Drosophila melanogaster: one gene and its partners. The protein of the gene in region 2 interacts with the protein of the main gene of each other region in a pairwise test. Each region holds a gene or a part of one and is shown on either strand. Other genes may lie near its edges.

The links.
Region 1: the proteins of CG13857 (region 2) and Sod3 interact in a two-hybrid assay, tested with the Drosophila melanogaster proteins (one large-scale study listed by BioGRID).
Region 3: the proteins of CG13857 (region 2) and CG34354 interact in a two-hybrid assay, tested with the Drosophila melanogaster proteins (one large-scale study listed by BioGRID).
Region 4: the proteins of CG13857 (region 2) and Rox8 interact in a two-hybrid assay, tested with the Drosophila melanogaster proteins (one large-scale study listed by BioGRID).

What each region holds. Positions count from the first base shown.
Region 1 is NT_033778.4:11,379,924-11,385,960, reverse strand, and holds Sod3 (superoxide dismutase 3), read left to right. Parts: upstream 1-1,846; 5' UTR 1,847-1,946; intron 1,947-2,885; exon of another isoform or gene 2,886-3,029; intron 3,030-3,643; 5' UTR 3,644-3,649; coding exon 3,650-3,712; intron 3,713-3,778; coding exon 3,779-4,006; intron 4,007-4,069; coding exon 4,070-4,298; intron 4,299-4,366; coding exon 4,367-4,388; coding exon of another isoform or gene 4,389-4,392; exon of another isoform or gene 4,393-4,932; coding exon 4,933-5,122; 3' UTR 5,123-5,167; coding exon of another isoform or gene 5,168-5,279; 3' UTR 5,280-5,512; downstream 5,513-6,037. Other genes in the region: sprt (sprite), read left to right, coding at 1-405, 519-900. UniProt on the Drosophila melanogaster protein: Protects the extracellular space from the toxic effects of reactive oxygen intermediates by converting superoxide radicals into hydrogen peroxide and oxygen.
Region 2 is NT_033777.3:22,391,682-22,395,803, forward strand, and holds CG13857 (uncharacterized protein), read right to left. Parts: upstream 2,424-4,122; 5' UTR 2,326-2,423; intron 1,845-2,325; 5' UTR 1,838-1,844; coding exon 809-1,837; 3' UTR 508-808; downstream 1-507. Other genes in the region: CG7059 (uncharacterized protein), read left to right, coding at 1-182, 239-402.
Region 3 is NT_033777.3:28,145,067-28,149,918, forward strand, and holds the start of CG34354 (uncharacterized protein), read left to right. Parts: upstream 1-1,813; 5' UTR 1,814-1,861; exon of another isoform or gene 1,862-1,902; intron 1,903-2,433; 5' UTR 2,434-2,905; coding exon 2,906-3,185; intron 3,186-4,852.
Region 4 is NT_033777.3:24,042,511-24,049,847, reverse strand, and holds Rox8 (Rox8), read left to right. Parts: upstream 1-1,582; 5' UTR 1,583-1,735; exon of another isoform or gene 1,736-2,058; intron 2,059-2,126; exon of another isoform or gene 2,127-2,349; intron 2,350-2,479; exon of another isoform or gene 2,480-2,660; intron 2,661-2,835; exon of another isoform or gene 2,836-2,910; intron 2,911-3,356; 5' UTR 3,357-4,182; coding exon 4,183-4,410; intron 4,411-4,581; coding exon 4,582-5,490; intron 5,491-5,557; coding exon 5,558-5,651; intron 5,652-5,702; coding exon 5,703-5,884; 3' UTR 5,885-6,792; downstream 6,793-7,337. Other genes in the region: Atg6 (Autophagy-related 6), read left to right, coding at 1-429, 484-589; CG5986 (uncharacterized protein), read right to left, coding at 760-1,362, 1,421-1,516.

The DNA of each region.
Region 1 (6,037 bases), on a different chromosome or scaffold from region 2:
TCCATCAACACCGCCCGAGAAACCGTTGATCTTTCAGCGGGGCAACTATATTACCACTTTGGTGGGGGGCAAACCCATCGAGCTGATGGGTGACGACATGGCCTCGACACAAACCCCTCCCGGACATGTAACCAAAACACTGATCAAGGAGAATACCCACATCGATTTGAGAGATCGTCTGTCGCACATGTACTCCATGCCCTCCAAATCGCTGTCCGCCTCGAAGATCTCGATTAATAGCGATTCTGCCTATATGCAGCACCATCGACGTGATAAGGAGCGCCATCGCGATCGCCAGCACCGGGAACGCCCCAGAGATCCTCTCCAGCAACAGCAGCAACTGCATCGCGAACATCTCATGAGCACGCACGCACGCAGTGTAGAGCACCTGAATCATTACAATGGGTAGGTTATTCGCGATTCTTCGAGATTCTTGTGTAGATGTTCTAGCAAAGACAGGCTTTTTCATAGATTTAAATTTTCCTGACTAATCTCCCCGATCTTCTTCGCCATTCCAGACTGGATCGTCGCCGAGACACGCCCCGACAAAGTGAGTCGAACACACTTCGAGCCCGCCTGCCCAGCGATATGAGGAGTGTAAAATCCCTGGATTTCGATAGCGAAAACGAATCGAAGCCTGCGACTGAGACGCGTACCACTAGACCCACTCCGCCCAAGAAACCCCTCCGGCTATCGCTGCAACGAGCCCAAAGTCTGCAGACCGTGGAGCTGCACCCCTGTGCGGATATCGAACGAAAGCGGCCCATGAAGAGGGTCCACCACAACAACAACAACAACAACAAAGGTGGAGAATCACCGACTGGAGAGGGCCAGACCATGCTCATCGAGAACTGCAGTCCCATGCACACGGCTTCCCTCGGCAGGCACAAGCTCATCTAGAAACCCGATCCCAATCCAACCAAAACTAATTGTTAATCGAAGTAGCTTAATCCTCGACCGATCCTAACCGGCGGTTAAACCCAAAAAACAGGCGGACATGTGCAAAATTACAGTAGGCAATATAATTTTAACCAGCTCCCAAGTGGAAAGTTTCTTATTATGTAGTAGCAGTAGTATGTACTTACATTCTATATCTTGTATAAGTAGGGCTTGGCTATCAACATTTAGTATTGAGAGAATCAATAATTAAGAGTTTTTGTATGTACGATGATTTTATTAGCACAATTTACAAATGTGAATACACGAATATTTTCACCTACTTAAATGCGTTATTTATTTAAAAAATTCGATCCCGGCCTGCTATAAATGTGATGTAACTACAATTTCATGGCATCGGTTGGCATATCAGAAGCTATTACCTGGCAACTCATTTTCAAAGAATTTGTAGCAGTAGTTCTTCAAATTGCTTCGCCGTATCTGGAAAGCATGCCAATATTTACGACCTCCATTGTAGGCACGAGCCTGGCACATATTTTATGACGCCACAGTGATAAGGTATTCAAATGAAAAGCACGTTAGCGTGTTTCAGCTGCGCTTTTAGTAAGTTCAAAGAATTACTTAATAGCTATAATTTGGATATAATTAAAAAAAAGGCCGTTAATAGGATAATAAATATATCATCAGAGCTGGACAAAAGAATCTGATCAATCTGCAGTTGATAAAAAAAACTCAACGAGGGAGATAGAGCGATAGAGCGGTGAAGTAAGCCCGAGATAAACCTGAGAGCGGAACTCTCGCCTACGCGATCGTGCTGACCGCCAAATGCAATATCCGCCGCTCCACCTGGTGGCGCTCTCAATTCTCAATTCTGCGGTCTTCTTGCTCTCGCCAAATCTGCCCCAATGTTCTCTCAGCGAGTCGATTTGCGATGGCAATGCCAGAGGCTCGAAACAGTTCCGTCGCAGGTTTCCAACGGTACAGAGGTGCAATCGCTTAATTCTCGCAAAAAACAATCAGTACCCAATTATAAAATAGTTGCTAACAAGGTGAGTTTGCAACGGACGCGAAAAAAAAGAAGATCAAGGGCTAGTAATCGAGAATATTGGGTGAAGGTTAAGCTGAAGTTGAAGTTACTTGAGTTAATTGTAATTGTTAATTGTTCATAATTTATTGGTTTGCTTACATTTTAGAACCTGATTTAGATATATTACCCACAATTGCGTGTTACCAAAAAGAAACCAGTTACCGCAAAAACGGAGTTTACTTCACTGATTTTTGATTCTCTCATTCACTGTCCGCTCACCCTTGAGTGGGTTAAGGTAACCAGTTATTAATCCAGAAAAATGAGTGGGCAAAAATGCAGCACAGACCAGACACAAAATATTGTACATATCCATTACAATCCACACATTCCACGGCTTAAAACTTCAATAAACATTTAAATTCCCAATCGTGAACAGTTGGTTGAACAAGTGTTTACGATATTCTATCTTTTCATATATGTAAAATTATGGCTTGTTCTTATCTCAAAACTGCATAGCTTCGGCGTTTAAATTAGACGCGAAGTCTCTGTGTGTGAAATCAAGTAATCTTGGCTGTATTGTTTGCAAATTCACGAAGAGAGCCCTGCGATCAAATTGTTCAGATAAGCATCTTCATTAGCATATCGTTTCACGGTAAAACTCAAACTGAGTTATTATTTTCAAATCAATCATATTTAATCAGCAAGCAAGAGCCCTAATAAACCTTATTTGATGGACAAGCAGTGGCTATTAGTTGCAATTTGTGACCCATTTCGTGACAGTTTGAACCAGAATAAGTAAATACCTGGCAAAAAACAGATTAAAATACTTATACGTAATGACAATGGCATTTTTAGTTCCGAAATTCAGTCGCTCTACGAGCGTGAGAATCGTAAATTATGGGACCGATTCCAAGTGCAGATAAGGATACGTGTGTAGAGCAGGTACTGACCGCGTTTGAAGATCGTTTCAGAACTCGAGCGTGCAAGATCGCCAGCATATCGCAGACACATTGATAAGACCGTAAGGAAACCGGACCCATAAACAAATATTGCCCCGATAAAGTGTGACACCCATCCATTTCATTTGTGGAACTTTGGAAGCGAAGTGCGTACGAAAAAGAGATTGTTGATTGACCTTCCCGCAGCCGCACTTAACCCTGTGAAAAAGGCTGTTTGCATTTAGTTTCGTTTGGGTATCGCTCATTATTCACACACATAAATAATAATACCCGTTCGCACATCATATATGACCCACAAATCGTTTCATAAATTGAGGCTAGGCGCTTCAATTCCGCACACAACTGTCCGTTTAAATGGAATCAAGAGAATGTACACCTGATGACGTCCAAGCCAGAGATGAGCTGGAATTCAAGTGCCAGAGATGAGTTGGCATCACGGAATTTGAGATTACAAGACATAAACCCTCCTAGCATTTCCCAAAACTGAAAGTATTTGGTTCCAAATCATTTAAAGCTTTACTATAAAGCATTATATAAATAGTTTTGGAAGATGTTTTTAATATTGAGTCCATATCAATTATCGAAATTTCAGGATTATCATTTAGTTCATTTTTAGCTATGTCCAGTAGATCATCCCTGGTGGGATTTTCTCTGCTTGTGCCACTCAATTTAAAATTATTTATTTATAGACATTTAAACATTTCTAACATTTGCTATCCGAGTCGTACACGTGTCTAATTTAACTATGATTTCCTTGCAGTTCAAAATGATGCAATATCTTGTTGTTAGCCTGGCACTCTGTGCCACAATTTGCTCTGCTGCGCAGACGGTAAGATATATAATCTCGTTAATTTGAAAATCCACTTATAATTAGGACACTGAACTTACTTTGCAGCGCAATATGCCCATTCAAGCCATTGCCTATCTGATTGGACCCGTGCAATCGGATAATACCCAGGTCAAGGGCAACGTGACCTTTACGCAGAACGACTGTGGCCAGAATGTCCATGTGCGCGTCCAGCTGGAGGGATTGAAGGAGGGCAAGCACGGCTTCCACATTCACGAGAAGGGAGATCTGACCAATGGATGCATCAGCATGGGTGCTCACTATAACCCCGATAAGGTAGATGCGGGATTCTTTATAGGATTAGGTGTCTAAATCACTAATATAACTTTTATGTCTCAGGTTGATCACGGTGGCCCCGATCACGAGGTGCGTCATGTTGGCGATCTGGGCAACCTGGAGGCCAACTCCACGGGCATTATCGACGTTACATACACGGATCAGGTGATCACCTTAACTGGCAAGCTGGGGATCATTGGCAGGGGAGTTGTTGTCCACGAATTGGAGGATGATCTCGGTCTGGGCAACCACACGGATTCCAAGAAGACCGGCAATGCAGGCGGCCGCATTGGTAAGTAGTCAGTGTAAAATAATAAAATAATAATAATAATAAAATATTTGTTTTAAACCTTCTTTCAGCCTGTGGTGTTATTGGCATCAAGTAAATATCCCTTCCAACGTGTCAGCCAAATCAATATGCTGCTCGAATACTTTATGTGTAGTTGTGTAACTCCAGGCGTAGTAACTAATGAAATGTTTTCCCAATTTTCCCAATTCCCCCACCCACAATCACACTCACCCTTACATGTTTGGCTTACACATTTCCCTCAATTAATTGTCTCAGTTCACTGACTCACTCGATTTGCCGTGTGTGTGTTTGTGTGTAATAAAATCAACAAAAATTAACCGAAATCTAAGCTAAACATTAGCATACTCTGTACCACTTGTGTTCTACCACCTCATATTCATGGCCTAAACAAACTTTCGCGCTTTGCTGGGGTTGCTTTTCCGAGTGGGTAGGTATGACAGAGAGCCTTTTTACCTATCATTTTTACTAACATCATTAGCATTAGTCGGTCGGTCGGTCGGTCGGTCGGTCGGTCGGCGAAGAGAAGGGGATATTGGAATAACAACTGCCGCTGGAATCGGAACTTTACTGATCCAACCAGGGTTCAATCAAAAAACTCACATTGTATGTTTTCCAGTGGCCCATCTGTACCTGCACCTGCACCACCAACACCACGCCATCAGCCACTGTACTATGTGCCCCATGGGGAGCCACAAGATCATGTTGTCTATCCACTCCAGCACTATCCTTTGCCATACCCACACCCATATCCATATCCGCACCCATACCCCTATCCGTATCCGTTGTCGCACCAATTGTATCTGTGAGATCGCGAGACTACACCGTTCGCCTGTTCCACCTTCTAATTGCAGCTCGGATGTGGACGAGTGGCCATGTCGCGATGGTGGCGCCGGCGCCCTGCGCTACTCCTTCTCCATCCTGACCGTCATCGTGGCCCTCATCATGGCCCGCAGCCTTGACTAATCCGAAACATGCACCCGGATCGGATCGAATGCACGCATGTGGCATGGGATTGTTGGCCATCGTAGTGATCTGCATACCTACTTACACACTAACCACACAACCATGAGTCGCACACCACTACCAACAGTAATTATAATACTCCAGCATTATCCACCCAAATAGAGAAATCAAAGGAACTAACTAAGCTACTTGTAAAGTGTTTGAATTGATCGATAATAAAGTTTGTTATTTGTATTTCGGGTGCTTGCAATTTGTACGTGCTTAGATAGTAACAAAAGTTGCTGAAAATGAACGACAGATAAGGGTTAGCTCTAATTTTATAAAAAAGATTAGACAAAGTGTTTCCAATGGACTGTTAGAATTGCACATAAATCACAGTAGTAGTAAGTTATCAAGAGAATTAAATATAACTTCAATTTTGTATGTTGATTTCTAAGGACAAATAGCTGTTTGTTCCCTAAAATAGGTTACCAAATAAATGAACACTCAAAAAGTTGGTAGGAAAACTATATATAGAACTTCGACGTCACCAAAGCTTTTCCTACCCATACACCTTTATGTGGCTGCGAATGGGTCATATAACATTTAGTTGCCTTTGATTTGCTGAATTCCAGCTTAGAGCCACAATTTGCTTTAAATTGCGGAAGCCTTCAGAAAATATTTGTGCTCCAATCATTCAGAGAACTCCAATTCCCAGGGATTTTGATTCCAAGCCGCCGCAACTAATGGTCAAGCAACAGTTTTTGCTTTTATTTTTT
Region 2 (4,122 bases):
CAGCAATCCCATATTCGATGATGTTCCTCGCGGTGAGTTCCCCCTCGCGGAATCCCTTCACATGTGCGTCGATCGAGTGAAACCCGTGTGGAAGGAGGTCAGGCGGGAAGTGTTCCAAGGCACCCGGGTACTAATGTGCGTCCACGGAACTGTGGCCCGTGCTCTCGTCCAGCACATTGAGGGTAAGTTAGATAGGCTTAGCAATAGCTTATGGTTTACATCGATGGTCACTCCGTAGGAATCTCCAACGAGGCCATCGAAAAGGTTAACATTCCAAATTGCGTGCCACGCGTCTATGAGTTCGATTTGAAAACGGGAGGCTTGGTTGGAGCTGCCATCAATCTGGGGGATCAGGAGTATATTAGGCGGAAGACAGCCCAGGTGGCAGCCATTGGTGACTGATTGTGGAGCACTCCTCTCGACTTTTTTGGAATTTACATCGATATGTGGCCGACTGCATTTACTTAAGCCTTTGCCGCTTAAAGTCCGAGAACATCGGCTGATAAGGATATTATGACTACTATTTATTGGTCTACACCATCTGATATTTTCGGCCAAAAATATACAATTTATACAAAATATAATTGATGGAGAAGATTACATATACGTACATAAATATAATAAAAATAAGCTATTTCGTTGTATGACGTCAAATTGGATGCTACACCAAAAAAAAAAAAACATTTTTTCCAAGTGTATAGTTTATTAAATTGTTTTTCTCAAGCTTCGTTACGATCGAAAAGACGATCTAGTAAATGCATTATGTAATACTTTCAGTTGTTGCCACAGCCATTTGCCTGAAGTGCAATTAGTAGTAGCTCTGCTCGTTGTAGAGCGGACCCAAGTTGTTTGGCAGGATGTATATGTCCTCGGGACGACCGTTGAACACGAACGGACGCTTCAGCGATGTCAGCTTGGAGTCCTGCTGAGGAACCGGCATGGAGGCGAGTCCAAAGCTCTGCTGAGAGCCTCCATAACCACCCATCGAAGGCGACGACATGGGTCTGTAGGGATTACTAGGCGTCGGTGGCCGCATTCCATATCCACCGCCACCCAAGCCAGGTGTCAGGGATCCCATCGCCTCACCCGGAGATCCGTTCACTTGGTAGACTCCAGTGGGCTTTCCGTTGGCCAGGAAGTTCACGGGCAAATTGAATACCGAACCGTAGGCGGAGAATGAGGGCATGGGCTGGTAGGTCAGCAGTGGTGAGAATCCACCCCCAAATGGAGCCGTTGGCATATTGGGCAAAAACATATACGGTGTGGGCGGCAGTCTTACGTAGTAGATGGGCGAATTGCGGGCTGATGACGCGTGATTGGCCCCAGGACGCCGACCACCGGAGGCTCGTGACATCACCACATCCTCGAGATCGTTGCTGGCGCCAGAAAAGGCGGGATAGAACATATCCGGAGCCAGGTAGAGTGGGACGGGTATGAGCACTGGCTGGGCATAGCCAATGAAGGGAAGCATCTTGGGCATGGCATCGTAAGGATTGCCCTGAGGTGCGGCATATGGACTCCAGGGATAGTTGGCAGAGTTGGGCAATCGCGACTCCTGTTTCGACTCCTGCATCATCTGGTAGGGATCGTGTTCCTCCTCGTCCTCCGACTTTAGATCCTGCTGCTCGCCCAATGTGTCTTGGACATACTGCTGCGTGTGGATCTGCTGTCCCTGCGACTGTTGTTGTCCCACCTGCAGTCCTGGCTGCGAGGATTGCAACTGCTTCTGTTGGCTCTGCTTCTTCACCAGCTGGGCTAGATTGGCTGCCACAGAGTCGGCCACTAGTTGCTCCAGCACCAGCAGCATTAGTATGATGCTCCACATGTGGTTACCCATTTGATAGCTGTAATTGGATCATGGCATTGGCGGTGAGTATATCTTCTGTCGATCCCCGACTGACCCCAAGCCCCATTCAAGCTGATTTGCATGCTTCGAGCTAGTTTCTCACACTCCAATTGCGCAACCAGCGGATTTTCCCCCACCAGCACAAGTGAACAACGGAAAAAATATGGCCAGTACTTTGGAGCCCCATCGCCGGCCGAGATCGGAGCAAAAAGTATACCCCGAAGTGTGCAGTATCCCCAAGCTAATAATTCATAATTAAATAAAGTAGGCACTTTTGGTTTACTAATATCTACTTATTAAATTGTATTCTACTCTGAAGTAAAGCCGCTGTTTTTCCATTTCTTTGCTTAGTATGTGTTCGCATTCAAAAATTTTTAATTTTTTTCACCTTTTGATCGGCAATTTTAAACAATTACCCTTAATTTTATGTTTGATGTTTTCACACTTTTTCCACAAACACTTTATGTACAAAAATTTACCTGGTCAGTAAGTGAAGATCGGTGATTTCTTAATTTAGCAGAAGAGTCCTAATCGAAATGCTAACGAATCAATTGGCCCACTGGTCGGCAGGCGCGTTCAACTGGAAATGAGTGTGATCGCGGCCAGAATCGACGCTTTATATATGGGGGCCTGGCCAGAATCCCCGCATTCCCGGTTCCCAACTCTCTGCCGACGGCGCCGTCGACGGGAGCTGCGCATGCGCAGCATTGAAGAAGCGAAGTGAAGTGGTTAAGTGTGTGGTAAGCAGAGTGTTTGGGCCATAAGTTTGTTTGCATTTGCTTGGCCTTTCTCAGCGATCTAAGGGCATGATTTTGAGGTTCTGTGGCAAGTGATAAATCGTCTAATTGCCAGCGGCTTAAACGCCGGCTTAATTAGCCCCGACTGTGAATAAACCTGACAGCTGCAAATTATATAAATATCCACATGCACTTGCTGCATTTTGCTAGCCAGCTTGGTGGAATCGCGAGCAATGTTAATTATACCGGCAAAAGGTCTCTCGACTGGTGTAACAAGAGCCCTGCGAGAAACGCCCGCGATTATGCATTTTAATTTTTATGACAGGGCAAAAGAAGACGTCGAGTTTGAGTCGGAGATGGGCTCATTAGTCAATGATATCCGCCCTGCATTCCACATGGCACCTAGCACCAAGCAGATAGCACCTAGTGCCTGCTTAAAGCACCTGCTTCTGCTGATCTAAAGATCTCTTCCCAGTTGCATAATTGAGCATAATTGTGCGATTGCATCGGCGTGCCTACATATTTAGTTAGTGTGCAACTTTATTGTCCGCCTAACGATTACCAGGCAAGAGCCAGTGTAATGCCAGCCAAAGAATCCCAGGCTGGCCAGGAAAAGGAAAAGGGAACAGGAGAGAACAGTCTGTCAAACAGGTCATAATTATGCCAGATACTCCACATACTCCGGTGCAGATAAACCCCTGCAGGCACTATTAATATTCTAATATGAATAATTTGTTTATTTGTCAAAGCCAACGGCACTGGCGCCGGCGTTGAGATTAGAGCAATAATAAATTACGCAGCTAATTAAGCGGCGATTGCAGCAGCAGCAGGAGCAGTAACATCCACGCAGATGCAAAAGATACAGATACATGCCGCAGATTGCGGCAACTGCCGCAACAAGCGACGACAATAACGAACGGTTCGTGTTCTATGTGTGTATTACTATTACCCAACTCAAGGCACTATCCCAGAGTCCAGCTAAGAACCAAGCCCAAATCCAAGCTCAAACACAAACCCAAGCCCGAACCCGAAGTACCCAACTTGGCCAAGCCCCATGCCACACGTAATTAGCCTTGGAATGTCCTTGTGCACGTGACTAGCCCCGCTCCTCGAAGCCTCTGGCGCGAGGATCGCAGTCGCCCTGGTGTGGGGCTAAATATAAAACGCGCGTGCCTGCGGATCATCAAACTTGGCCACTTTCCTAACGAAGCCACGTTAGGTGACAATGTCGTTGATGCACTGCCCGAAAATATTTGAAAGTCAGCATGGCATCTTGTTATGTTAAAATATACGACTATTCAAATTCTGCCTAGCTAGTTGGCCTGACATCAATGAGAAATGGTTTACAATGATCTGTTCCAATTACTACGATATATTTAATATCTAGCTTAGTACATTTTATTTGTGCAGTAAATCATAGTATAGTACTTCCAGTGGATTTGTGCAGTGTAGAATTGGCAGTACTATCTTGGTATCGGTATTCGGAACGTAAACAACTAACAGCTATCAGGCTACAAGGGTTCATTAACACCAACTGAC
Region 3 (4,852 bases), 5.8 Mb from region 2:
GCCAAACAAGAAAGAAACTCGTCTTTTGCATCGCTCTAACGGCCTCTTCTTATTGTTTACTTCACTTTTGTTATTACGTGAAGTTGCTGCTGTTTTTGTTGCATTTAAGCACATGCAATATACACTAAAAGAAAATCAGGATTTTCTTCACAAATATAAACATAGATTTACAATTGAATCGAAATGTTTTGTAGAAGTATCGTTATGTTTACTCTTGAGATCCCTAGAATTATATGTAACTTTGGTTTTAAACTGAACGTTTTAAGCTGAATCCTTAGAATTTTATTTATTTTTTAAATAAATATAAAGTTGAATCATTTTTTTCGAGTACTTCTGTGAGTTGGTGAGCAGGGAGAGTACATTCAAGACCCGTTGTCCGCTACATGAGCTATTCTATGGACACTCGACGTCTCTGCCGTGCGACGTTGATTCTATGCTAAATACGAGCAGAACAATGATAATGTCGCATGGTAAATTACATGTAATTATGTATTTTACCAACATTTCCCCATTTCACTGGCGACTCCTCCCCAGCCCAGACACTTTTTCGAGCACTGCTCTTTGCAACATTACCTCAGAACACCGTCGTCCTGTCGCTCGCTGTCCCTGTCACCGCTGTCGACACGAGAAAGTATGTTAATAACGCAAAAAGAGGAGTAATAACGAGGAGAAAAGAGTGCAATAATAGGGAGATACACCTTAAATTGCATCCTTTTTGTTGTCCTGTTTGGATTTAGTTCCAGGGCTACAATTAACGCAAGGCAATTGGCAGCAGGAGAAGCAAAGCTTCTCATGCAATTAATGGTATGTAGCTTATACAAAACATTTCATATTAGTGAAACTAAGTAATAATAACTTCAAAGGTTGTTGCTTTTATCTGACCCTTTTTCACAGTGTTTAGCATATAAGTGTGCTTACAATTGTTGAAAAGCTATTGCTGCTTTATCCTAGTTAGATATTATATTGTTAGATTAGTTTTAAAAGTTAATATTTTATGACCACTTGGACGCAAGGATGGATTCAGATGAAAAAGAATAGAAAATATTAACATCAGCTGGCTGTTCTTAACATTTGCCTTGTCCTGCAACGTATAACAGTTTTCAGGGCATGCCATAAAAATACTGGTATTTTCGAGTGACGAGGCGCAAAAGGACATTTCTGAAGGTTCTATTTAAAGCGACAAGTGGTACGGAAAATCATTATAAAAGCTCTGACTAAATTGGAAACTGAATTTTTACATGTAGATATTACGATTTTAATTTAAAGATATAACATTATATTTTTATTTAAATTATAAATCAGAAAACAAGCCTTGGCAGTCAATTTCAAATGTGGCTGGCGCTTTCGAAAAGCCTGTGCTCTCGGCTGCTCGGATTCTGCGCTCTGTGGCGACGGGAGCCGAAAGGACCTGAAAGGACGAGGCTTGCGACTTGTGAATGGCGCCTGGAGCGAGGAAACGAGCCAGTTGGGATGGCGAGAGGGACGGAGAGAGGGCCGGAGAGCAAGGATTCAGCAAGGAGCAGGCGGCGCGAGTGAGAGCGAGCCATTCGTGAATATTTCATGAACGATGGCTGCGATGGCAGCCAGCTTCGTGCCGCCGTTAACCGAACTCCTCGCCGCCGAAGAGAAATGTAGGGAAACGCATCCCGTCGTCGTCATCGACGGCAGAGGCAGCAGCAGCAGCGGCGACAGCGATTTTCACAGCAGCAGCGACAGCGGGAAAATCGGCAGCCTTTCTGCCGTCGTTGCAGTGGCAGCAGCGCCTCCGAATTTTGGCCAATGCGTGTGCTCCTGGCGTTCAGTAAGAAAAGCGTCGCCCAGCGGTCTAGTACGAACGTATACCGAACGCTTTGTATATCCTGTAAATTATATCCTGTGTGTGCGATTGATCACGTCGGCCTGGTTCGTGCGTAGTTCGAAACATAGACTTCACACCTTGCCTTGCCGTAGTGGCAAATTATTCTGGGCTTTGGGCTAGAACCTATTATTTTTTAAAGATCACTCAATCTTAACCTATACACGACATTTATTAAGCTGGTCTTATCACGCACTTGGAGTCAGTGACTTCTAAAGTTGCCAGCAAATTCGCGCGCGACAAAAACTCAGAGGCTGCCGGCAAAATAATAATTGCCATTGCAGCCAGCTACTTGAAACTTTCCCAGCGACTTTGAACCGGCTGAGCAGGGCTTCACTTTTTTGTTTGGCATTTTCCCCTGTTATTTTCTCACATATTTTCATTTTTTTTTTTTTTTTCATATTTTCGTTTTCTTTTTTGGCCTGACATTTTACATACCAGACATTGATATTAAAACAGAAGACGTCTGGCAGGCAGAGAACTGAACTCGTAGTACTACTCGCATGACAGGAATATTTATAATTTCCGCTGCCAGCAGACACAACAGAAAAGAAAGAATAATTTGCGATTACTGGCAGGCAGAAGGCGAAGGAAATCCCTGAAACGATATTACAAGCCAAGTGCGCTTGAGTTCGTGTATTTCCGGTTGAACAAACACATAAGCGAAACATAAAAGAAAGGCGAAAAAAATATACTTACATATTTTCCACATGCCCCCATACTTACGTCGATATATATATATATACATATATGTAGTACATAAATAGAGTAACCAGCCAGCACGAAAAGTGAAAATACATAGAGGCGAAGCAAGGCGAGAGCATATTTCATAAGTTTGCACTCCGCACACATAGAAAGTAGAAAGCAGCGACGAGAGCCAGAGAAAGCTGGCGACAAAGGCTAACGCACGACCTTTGGCACCGAGTTCAGATCCTGCGGAGGAGTCAGCAGCAAATCAATAAAGACAAAGACTCCCAGCCAGAGCAACTGCATCACCAGCCAACCCAGCTTCGCTTCCCGAGTCCAGCGACCAAAATTCACTCGCAAATTATGCTGACCATGTCGACCCTGATGATGCCAGCACCGACCATAGCCATGGGTGCCCCGCAGATCACAATGGGTCCGCACAAGCCGCCGGAAACGAAGCTGTTGGCCATCCATCCCGCTGCAGCGGCCGCAGCAGCCGCCCAGCAGCAGCAGCAGTCGGTGACAGCTGCTCATTTGCAGCACAATGGCCAACAGCAGCACTCGCAGCAGCAACAGCAACAGCAAATGTCGCAACAGCAACAGCAGCAGCAGCAGCAGCTCGTGGGCAACAACTCCAAGCCAGGTGAGTGGAAAAGCGAGTTTCCCGGGGTGAATGTCCTTTTCGTCCCGTTTCGGTTCTCGGTCTTGGTCTCGGTTTCGTTTTCGATTTCGGTTTCGGCGCAATTTCCACCGGCAAAAGGTGTTGCATAAATTGAGAAATGTCTCTGCCACTTTGCCCCTGAGACGTGTTTCGAATGCGGCAGACAACGATCTGCGTTTTGTTCTGGGGGGTACTATTCGCATCAACAACTGGAATAAATTTTCAATAGACAACGATTTCATTCAGCGACTAAACTTGTGTTTATTTGCAATATCAAAACTTAATTAAATGCATCATAACGGACTGGGCTGCAACCAAATAACCCAATTTTCTTTCTGATATTGGGAATGAAGGCAAATCTATGAAAATTGACAAATATTTTTGCCTAATTTATTGAAATGTCTATATGAAAACTCTGGGAAATGCAAACCGTTTAATATCATGTAAAGACCAATAAATCAAGTATTATTCTCAACAAAAAAAAAAACAAAAACGCCATCATAGTCATTTGCAATTCTAAACGTATTCAGATTGGGCTTCAGTTAGGATTTAATTGAATGAATTTTATTTTGCGATATAATTGCATTTCATTTTCAGCCAAGGATTTGTGCAGGCTTAAAAAGTTAGCAAATCATTCAAACACGGCCATGGCAAAAAATAATTTATCCTATTAGTTGTATCCTAATGAAATGCTGTTTGTGCTAAAATGTGTTCTATTTGTCAAATTTGTGCATTTATCTTAAAGAGCAATAAATTAGAGTATGCAAAATAACACAATATGCTACATATTATATATAATAATAAAATGCGAAACTTTAAAATAAACTAGAATTCAAGTGCAGCAAAAACTTCAAGCAAAAGCTCAGTTAACAACAACCTCTAGAGAAATAACAACAGCTTACGTATTCACAACAATGTCTGAACAATTACAATTCAAACCAAAAAACACCCCAGGCGATCGATATCAGGGCACGATAACGTACATATTTATAGAAATTTTGTATGCGTCAGATGGCCAAAATCATACTGGCAACACATTCAATTAAACGTGGCCCAGTCAGTCGGAAGTCAAGGAGGCAGATTTCGAAAATACCAATAGAGCACACGTATCACTTTCGGGCAGTTTTAAATGAGTAAAATTCCAAGGGGCCAAATTCGCACACGTAATCCGAAAAATAACAAACTCGAACACGCATTTCAGAGATGAATTATTGTGGACACCACCCCTCTGGGCTGAAAATGTCAAGCGTAGGCATTACAAGCATAAATATCAGTTACAATTTTCATATTTTTAACCACAAATGAAAAATTTGATACAGCTTGGGCAGGCAGGGGAAATTGCATGCCCGTAGAGATTTACAACTTAAAAACAACTTAAGCCGAAACTTGGAAACAAAGGCAGCAGCGATAGAGACAGAAACTGGGACTATTCTCCAATTTGTTGGCTCTACCAGCCCCGGCCCCAACAACACCCCTAAGTCCCTCAAACCGACAACGGTTGCTAATGGCAAAAACTATACACAAATAGACACTGGCAGGCATAAAACCGGAAACAACGGCACAGGAAGCTGCATGAAAATGAAACGAGGAAAAGCGGCCAGGCAAACCAGCCGGCCTGACTTTGGGCTGTAATGAAAAATGGAAAATGT
Region 4 (7,337 bases), 1.7 Mb from region 2:
ATTCAACATCACCTTTCACATCTGGCATGCCGGGCATTTCGGTACCATTAATAACTTTAGGCTGGGTCGATTGCCCTCTGTATCCGTGGACTGGTCAGAGATCAACGCCGCTTGGGGCCAGACGGTGCTTCTGCTCTCTGCGCTTGCTCGTAAGATAGGGCTCACCTTCGAGCGGTATCGTGTAGTACCCTTTGGAAATCATTCGTATGTTGAGGTGCTCGGCGAGAATCGAGAGCTCCCGCTTTATGGCAGCGGCGGATTTAAGTTTTTCTGGGACACCAAGTTTGATGCTGCCATGGTAGCTTTTCTCGACTGTCTTACCCAGTTCCAGAAGGAGGTCGAGAAGCGCGACACCGAGTTCCTGCTGCCCTACAAGATGGAGAAGGGCAAGATCATCGATCCCTCCACGGGAAATTCCTATTCTATTAAGTAGGTTTAGAAATGGTAAAGATTTTACCTATAATAATGATGGTTTCCTTACAGAATCCAGTTTAACTCGGAGGAGCAGTGGACCAAGGCACTGAAATTCATGCTAACCAACCTGAAATGGGGATTGGCCTGGGTTTCTTCACAGTTTGTGTCACCGTGATTTTTCTTTCTCTTTTAAATGTATATTTATAAATTACTTAATTATCCCCATAGTATTAAATCTAAATCTTTCAAATTTTAAATGAGAAGTATTTATATTGTTATGTTTATTTCAGGTAAATTTTGAAATAAGAACGTCTTTGGTACATACTTAATTCAAAAGTTATTTATCTAGTTTTGTATAGCTTTTTTCTGTGTTTTTGGCTCCTCCTCGCTGTCGTCAGAGTCAGAGTCGGATCCAGAGATGTCATCGTCTATCCAGAGTGTGCCCTTTTTCTTCTTTTTTGCCTTGGTCTTGTCTACGGCGGGGGATTTCCTCTTTGTGCCACTGGAAGTTGCTTCCTCGACGCCTTTCTCCTTGTTCTCCTCGGCCTGCTTGAGTCCCTCCTCGAAGGCGTCGTTTACCTTCTCGGTCAGATTAGCCCTGGCTTCCTCGTACTTATCGTCCTTAAAGTCGTGCTTGGGCACGGCCAGCAGTTTCTCGATTTTTCGCTTTTTACGCTCCTCGGCCTCCCGTTCCCGTTCGCCCTGCTTCTCCAGCCAGGCGCGCACCCGCTTCTCCTCGTTGATATCCCGCAAACGGCGACCACTTAGATCGCGGCAAGCCTCGCGATTGGTTGTCTTTTCAATTTGCGCACCAATGGCTCGAAGCATGGAACCAAATCCTCCTTTGCCACCGAGCTGGCGGAGAACGCAGTGAACATCTCCAGATGAAATTTCTCCCTCCAAGCGCTTGCCATTGCTGACTAAGTAGTATTCCCCTGGTTGCAGGTTCTGTAAAAAAAAGGGCCACATTGCAAAATCTTATGAAAATTATACATAACATACTCACTGTTTTCTCCGCAATCCGACTGTAAAGCTCATCACATTTAACGTGATCTCCACAAGAAATTATATATTTACTGTTTATAAAAATATTTATGCCCATTTCGACGACCTTTTCGATAACGATTGTTATTTCTAGTCTGCTTTGTGCTGCATTTGCGCCCGCGGTGAGTGTGTTAGAGAGAGAAAGCGGTGATGCAAGCGTTATCGCCTGCCCTAGGGTTGCCCCCTTTTCGATAACGTTGCTTCAAATAACTTAAAGTCGCGAATTAATGTGTGATCCTTGTCATATTATCGCTGAATTTCCATTAAATACCCCTACGTAAGTAATTTTATAAAAAAATCTTGTCAAGTCCATACTCTTTATTGCATTTCCCATCTTGCCGCCATTGCGTTTTTATTTCTCAGCAAGTTGGCAGCCCTGGCTCTCGCACACAAAATCTCATTAATTAGTTCGCATTTTAGACGACGAAGGTAAAATTTTAGCGACGCGTTCAACGTACATTTGCAGCCCCTAACAACTTTGAAAGTTTCGCAAAATTAATACAAACCGGTAGCGGCTAAACTTGACCGTCAAATGAAGTGTGCGAACAGAGTGCAGAGCAAGTAAAATGCGGTAAATTTACAAACGCAGCCACGTCACAGAGAGCGCATTAAAGAAAAAAGAAGAGAGTGCGAATTTTGACAGCGAAATTCGAGTCTGAACAATGGACATTAAGCGAATGCACTATAGTGCGGCGGGGACGATAATTGTTAAGCCCAGTTTTCGGCACCGCTGTCAGGCAGCAGGGTCGGGGCGGAGGCGTGGCGGTTGTTGGTGGCGGGGGAGCGGCATTAAAAGATGGCAGCACAAAAGCGAACAAGATACATACATATACGTACATATAGCGGCAAGCTGAAAAGGCAAATGAAAAGTCCCGCATTCAAATCGTCTTGGTATTGGTATATTGGCATTAGTTTAAATACACTCAATAGCCAAAAGCGGAAAAAAGCAAAAGCAAAAGAAAAGTGGAGACTCATGTGAGGAAAACGCAAACAAAAAGACCAGCGCAAGACGCCTCTCTCTGCGTGTGTGTGTGTGCGTGTCGGTGCTAATGTGTCAGTGTGTGTGCGAAAAAGAGACGAAGAAAATAAGCAGCAAATGAGCAACCAAAACCACCCCGCCATTCCCTTTTCGCCGTCTCTTCAGTTCTGTGACTTTGACTGACATTTTCTAGCGCCGCCGCCGCAGAAATAATCAAAATCAAGTTTAGTTCTATGCAAATTAAAATTTGATTTCGCAAAGTGTGAAGAAGAAGAACACGAATCTAATGCAACCGTGTGTGTCACCCGCCCGCCGGTTTCGCAAAATTTCCCACATCTTTCTCTTCCTTTTCCCTGTTTTTCTTTCTCCTCATTTTGTTATCGACGGTCATTCATCTTCTAGTCGATTTTCGTCGTTCTCCTTTCGCCCTCGTCTCGCTGGCGTGCCTGAGTGTGCATTTCTGTGTGCTGTGCGTGAGTGGCCCAAAAAAAAATTTGTAAATGTGAATACAGAAATATATTAATTATAAACTAAATCATTTTGCAAGGCCCGCAAATTTGTTGCGAATGAATGGCTATTGTCAATTGTTGGCCATTCGCTTTGTTATAAAGACAGGCAGTCTCTTTCCCCTGTCCTTTCCCACCCGCCTCTCTCGCTCCGAAGATAGCTCACTCACTCTCCCCGTGTTTTTCGTGTGCGCCAGTGTGTGTGAGCGTGCGTCTGTGTGTGCGTGTCCCTGCACTGCTTTGCCGCCTTCTTTGTTCCCATCATGCGAAAAGGGGGCGGGGCGGGGTAGTCGATTTATATCCATATCATTTGCGCCTGTTTTAAGGCCCACCGATCATGTGCCATTAGACCTTGTCCCACTCTTCCGGTTATCAGCGCAAAACTAACCCAAATTTACCTCTCTCTTTTACAGCAGCAACGATTCCAGGGGTCAGCTTCGAAACCCGAAAAGTACACTCAGCCTGCGAACTTTCACGCTGTTTAACTTAGCTAACTAATTTTTGTACAAGAGCAAGAATAAGTAGTCGCAACCAAGTATTCATATGTACATTTATACAATCCTGTATATTGGAACGGACAACTATTTATAATCACAACAACAACATCCGGATCATCGAAGAAGGATCGAGCAATTCTGAAATACCAAGTAGTGTACACCAAGAAACCCCGAATCCAAATCCCAGGCCCCCAGGAAAGGAAGTCAACCGATTATAGACATATATATTAGGCGACTAATCGTATATTCCAAAACACTCCATTAGCGTTTAGTTAGGACAGATATATTTATACGTATACATATAGATGTTTAACGAAATTTTCAATTAGGCGCCAGATTAGGAACAAAATAAAGCAATAAACGACGAACCTCAGCGTTAAGCAAATAGATCAACCTACCTAGATTGAGCATATAAAGTTTATATAATCCAAAAAAATCAAGCCAAGCCGAGAGTAAGTCGAAAGTAGTAGAAAATCAAAGTATTCAAATCTCTCTTGGAGTTTCCTGTTAGCAGCTAGCACCAATTAGATTGCCGCAAATACACCTGTTTAATTAGCAGACACTTTAGATTTTGTACGTAGCTAGGAACTTAATCTGCAAATTTTTGATACATCCCCTTCCGATTAATGCGGCCAGGTGCAGTAGTTGCAATTCCGGTTTTAGTGTAGAGTCAGTAGATTGTCGCTGTAGCCTAGTGTATAATCAGATCAAAAAAGCCACAGTCCCGTGACATCCGACAGCCATGGACGAGTCGCAACCGAAGACCCTATACGTGGGCAACCTGGATAGCTCAGTGTCCGAGGACCTGCTAATTGCCCTCTTCAGCACCATGGGGCCCGTCAAAAGCTGCAAAATCATTCGGGAACCGGGCAACGATCCATATGCCTTCATCGAATATTCCAACTACCAGGCAGCCACAACAGCTCTGACCGCCATGAATAAACGCCTATTCCTCGAAAAGGAAATCAAGGTAAGCTGATTAGCTTCTCTTAAGTTATCAAGTGGACAGCGGTCATTTTCATTCATTTTGTTCGAAACTACACTCTTGCAACACACACATTCCCCACGACCAAGCCCTCATGTTATTTTAATTATGTAGAACTTAATTGATTATTACCTATTAAACGAATGCTCTTCGCAGGTCAACTGGGCCACCAGTCCCGGCAATCAGCCGAAGACAGACATCAGTTCGCACCACCACATATTCGTGGGCGACCTCAGTCCCGAGATTGAGACAGAAACACTGCGCGAGGCTTTCGCCCCATTCGGAGAGATCTCCAACTGTCGCATTGTGCGCGACCCTCACACCATGAAGTCAAAGGGTTACGCCTTCGTGTCGTTTGTGAAAAAGGCGGAGGCAGAGAACGCCATCCAGGCGATGAACGGCCAGTGGATTGGCTCGCGCTCGATACGCACCAACTGGTCCACGCGCAAGCTGCCACCACCACGCGAGCCTTCCAAGGGCGGAGGCCAGGGAGGCGGAATGGGTGGCGGACCGGGCAATGGGTCCGGTGTAAAGGGAAGTCAACGCCACACCTTCGAGGAAGTGTATAACCAGTCGAGCCCCACCAACACCACCGTATACTGTGGCGGATTCCCGCCGAATGTCATCAGTGACGACCTGATGCACAAGCACTTCGTCCAGTTTGGTCCCATCCAGGACGTGCGGGTCTTCAAGGACAAGGGCTTCTCGTTCATCAAGTTTGTTACCAAGGAGGCAGCCGCCCACGCCATCGAGCACACGCACAACAGCGAGGTACATGGAAACCTGGTAAAGTGCTTCTGGGGCAAAGAGAACGGAGGCGATAACTCGGCCAATAACCTCAATGCCGCCGCTGCCGCGGCAGCAGCCTCTGCCAATGTTGCCGCCGTTGCGGCAGCCAATGCTGCGGTTGCCGCTGGAGCGGGTATGCCCGGTCAGATGATGACGCAGCAACAGATCGCCGCCGCAACAGGAGCGGCGATACCCGGCCAAATGATGACACCCCAGCAGATTGCGGCGCAGTATCCATACGCGTACCAGCAGATGGGCTACTGGTATCCACCTGCGGTAAGTGTTGTATTCTTTAAATACGCAGTGACCTAAAGATTGACCCTAACTTTGTGCTTTTCTGCAGACTTATCCCACAACCCAGATGCAGACGCAATACATGCAGCAGGGCTACTATCCCTACGCCTACCCTACCAGTGCTCAGCAAGCGGGAGGAGTCCGTAAGTTTACTTTTCTCAGTTGCTGAATAATCGTGACCTTGGCTTAAACAGCTTGCATACAATTTTCAGCGGCTGGATACCGCATGGTGCCGCCGAATGTAGCATGGGGCGTGCCCGGAACTGTGGTGCCCGGTGTGACGGCTGCCGCAGCATCCGCGGCCGCTGCAGCGAACGGATCACTTGCCCCCCAAATGATGTACAGTGCTGCGATGCCACAATACCAGACCCAATGAGCTGAGATGTGACGCCAGCTTCGACGCCGTTTGCAGCATCCGGGAAGTCGCCCCCAGCCGCAGCCACAACCACCTCTGCTGCATCAGCTTCCGCACCTGCAGCAGTTGCAAGCGCATTACGCACGTTTAGGTTACGTACAATACCGAGTAGTAGCAAAGTCGGAGCCGCTCCTGGCCATGCCGTTGACCAGCGGCAGCAGCCACATTGACGGTGGCAATGTATCTGGAGATTATTAAGGATGCGCGAGTGTCCACTTTGAAGTTGTGGCTACGGTTGCGGCTGACTGCGGTGGAAGGAAGCGGAATCGGGTGTGGTATATAGCCCCCCAAAGTCGAACGTTAAGGCGGTGCGTGGAGCTCAACTTCAAGTGATCCACGCCGGCGACAACTGAAAGAACATCAATTGAAAAGCTCCGGGCGATGGGCGGGTAGCTGTAACAATCTAATCCAATCTAAGTACGTGTTAAATTAATTTAATGATTTCTAATTTAAGCAGATATAGGCGTATAAACGAAACGGAAATAAAATAAACCGAATGAGAAATTCAACAAAAACAAACAAATAAAAACTGAAAAGAGAAAATGCTAATTACGCGCGACAGAGTTAAAACAAAAAGAAAACAATCGAAACAAAAACGTGACAAAGCAAATTGTAATTGTAACTATGTGGAACATGTGTCAACGAAAACTGAAGACGGAAAGAGGGTAGTTTCAGTGGGATGAAAGGATAGCCGCAAGCAAGCAAGCCGAATGCAAAAACAAGAGGAAAAACAAATTTAGTCACTAAGAGAATGTAAATTCGAGCATACATATTGTATATTTCCAATGTGGAAAACGAAATGCGATATAAATATGTAAAATGTAAAATAAAGAAGCAAAAAAATATATAAAACAAGTGAGAAAACGAAGGGACGCTGGTTTTTATATTGAGGTAATGAATTAGGATGTGGAATTATTATTTCAAACTTTAATTTATATCATTGATGATAGAAGTGGTTACTACTACTACAAATCTGGTGGAGGATTCAGCGGAGTCTAAAATATAGTTAAAAAGTAATTAACTTTTACAATTGTGCTAAAAAGTTTTCTTAAGGTATAACATACATACATGAATGAATTTTATAGCTTTAATATTCTCTAGTGAGACGCAGTTTTTCTGCGAAACTAGTTTTCATGAATGCTTAATTCTTCTGCTTACTTTCTCTTAATTTAAATGCACCTGGTGATGTCAGCCGTTGCTCAATTCTCAATACACTACCAATGGTTTCCAATAGCTTAGAATTTTGTTGATGATTAAGAATGCAATTGATGTTTCTTGAAATCGATTTTATTTAGCGTATTCTATAGATTTCTTTATATATATAGTTTTATATGCATGTAGTTTTTTTTTGTATCTGTGTTTAGTAACTAGTCAAAGAACTCAAATTCCGGGTGGGCGAGCTGCGTTGAAGCTG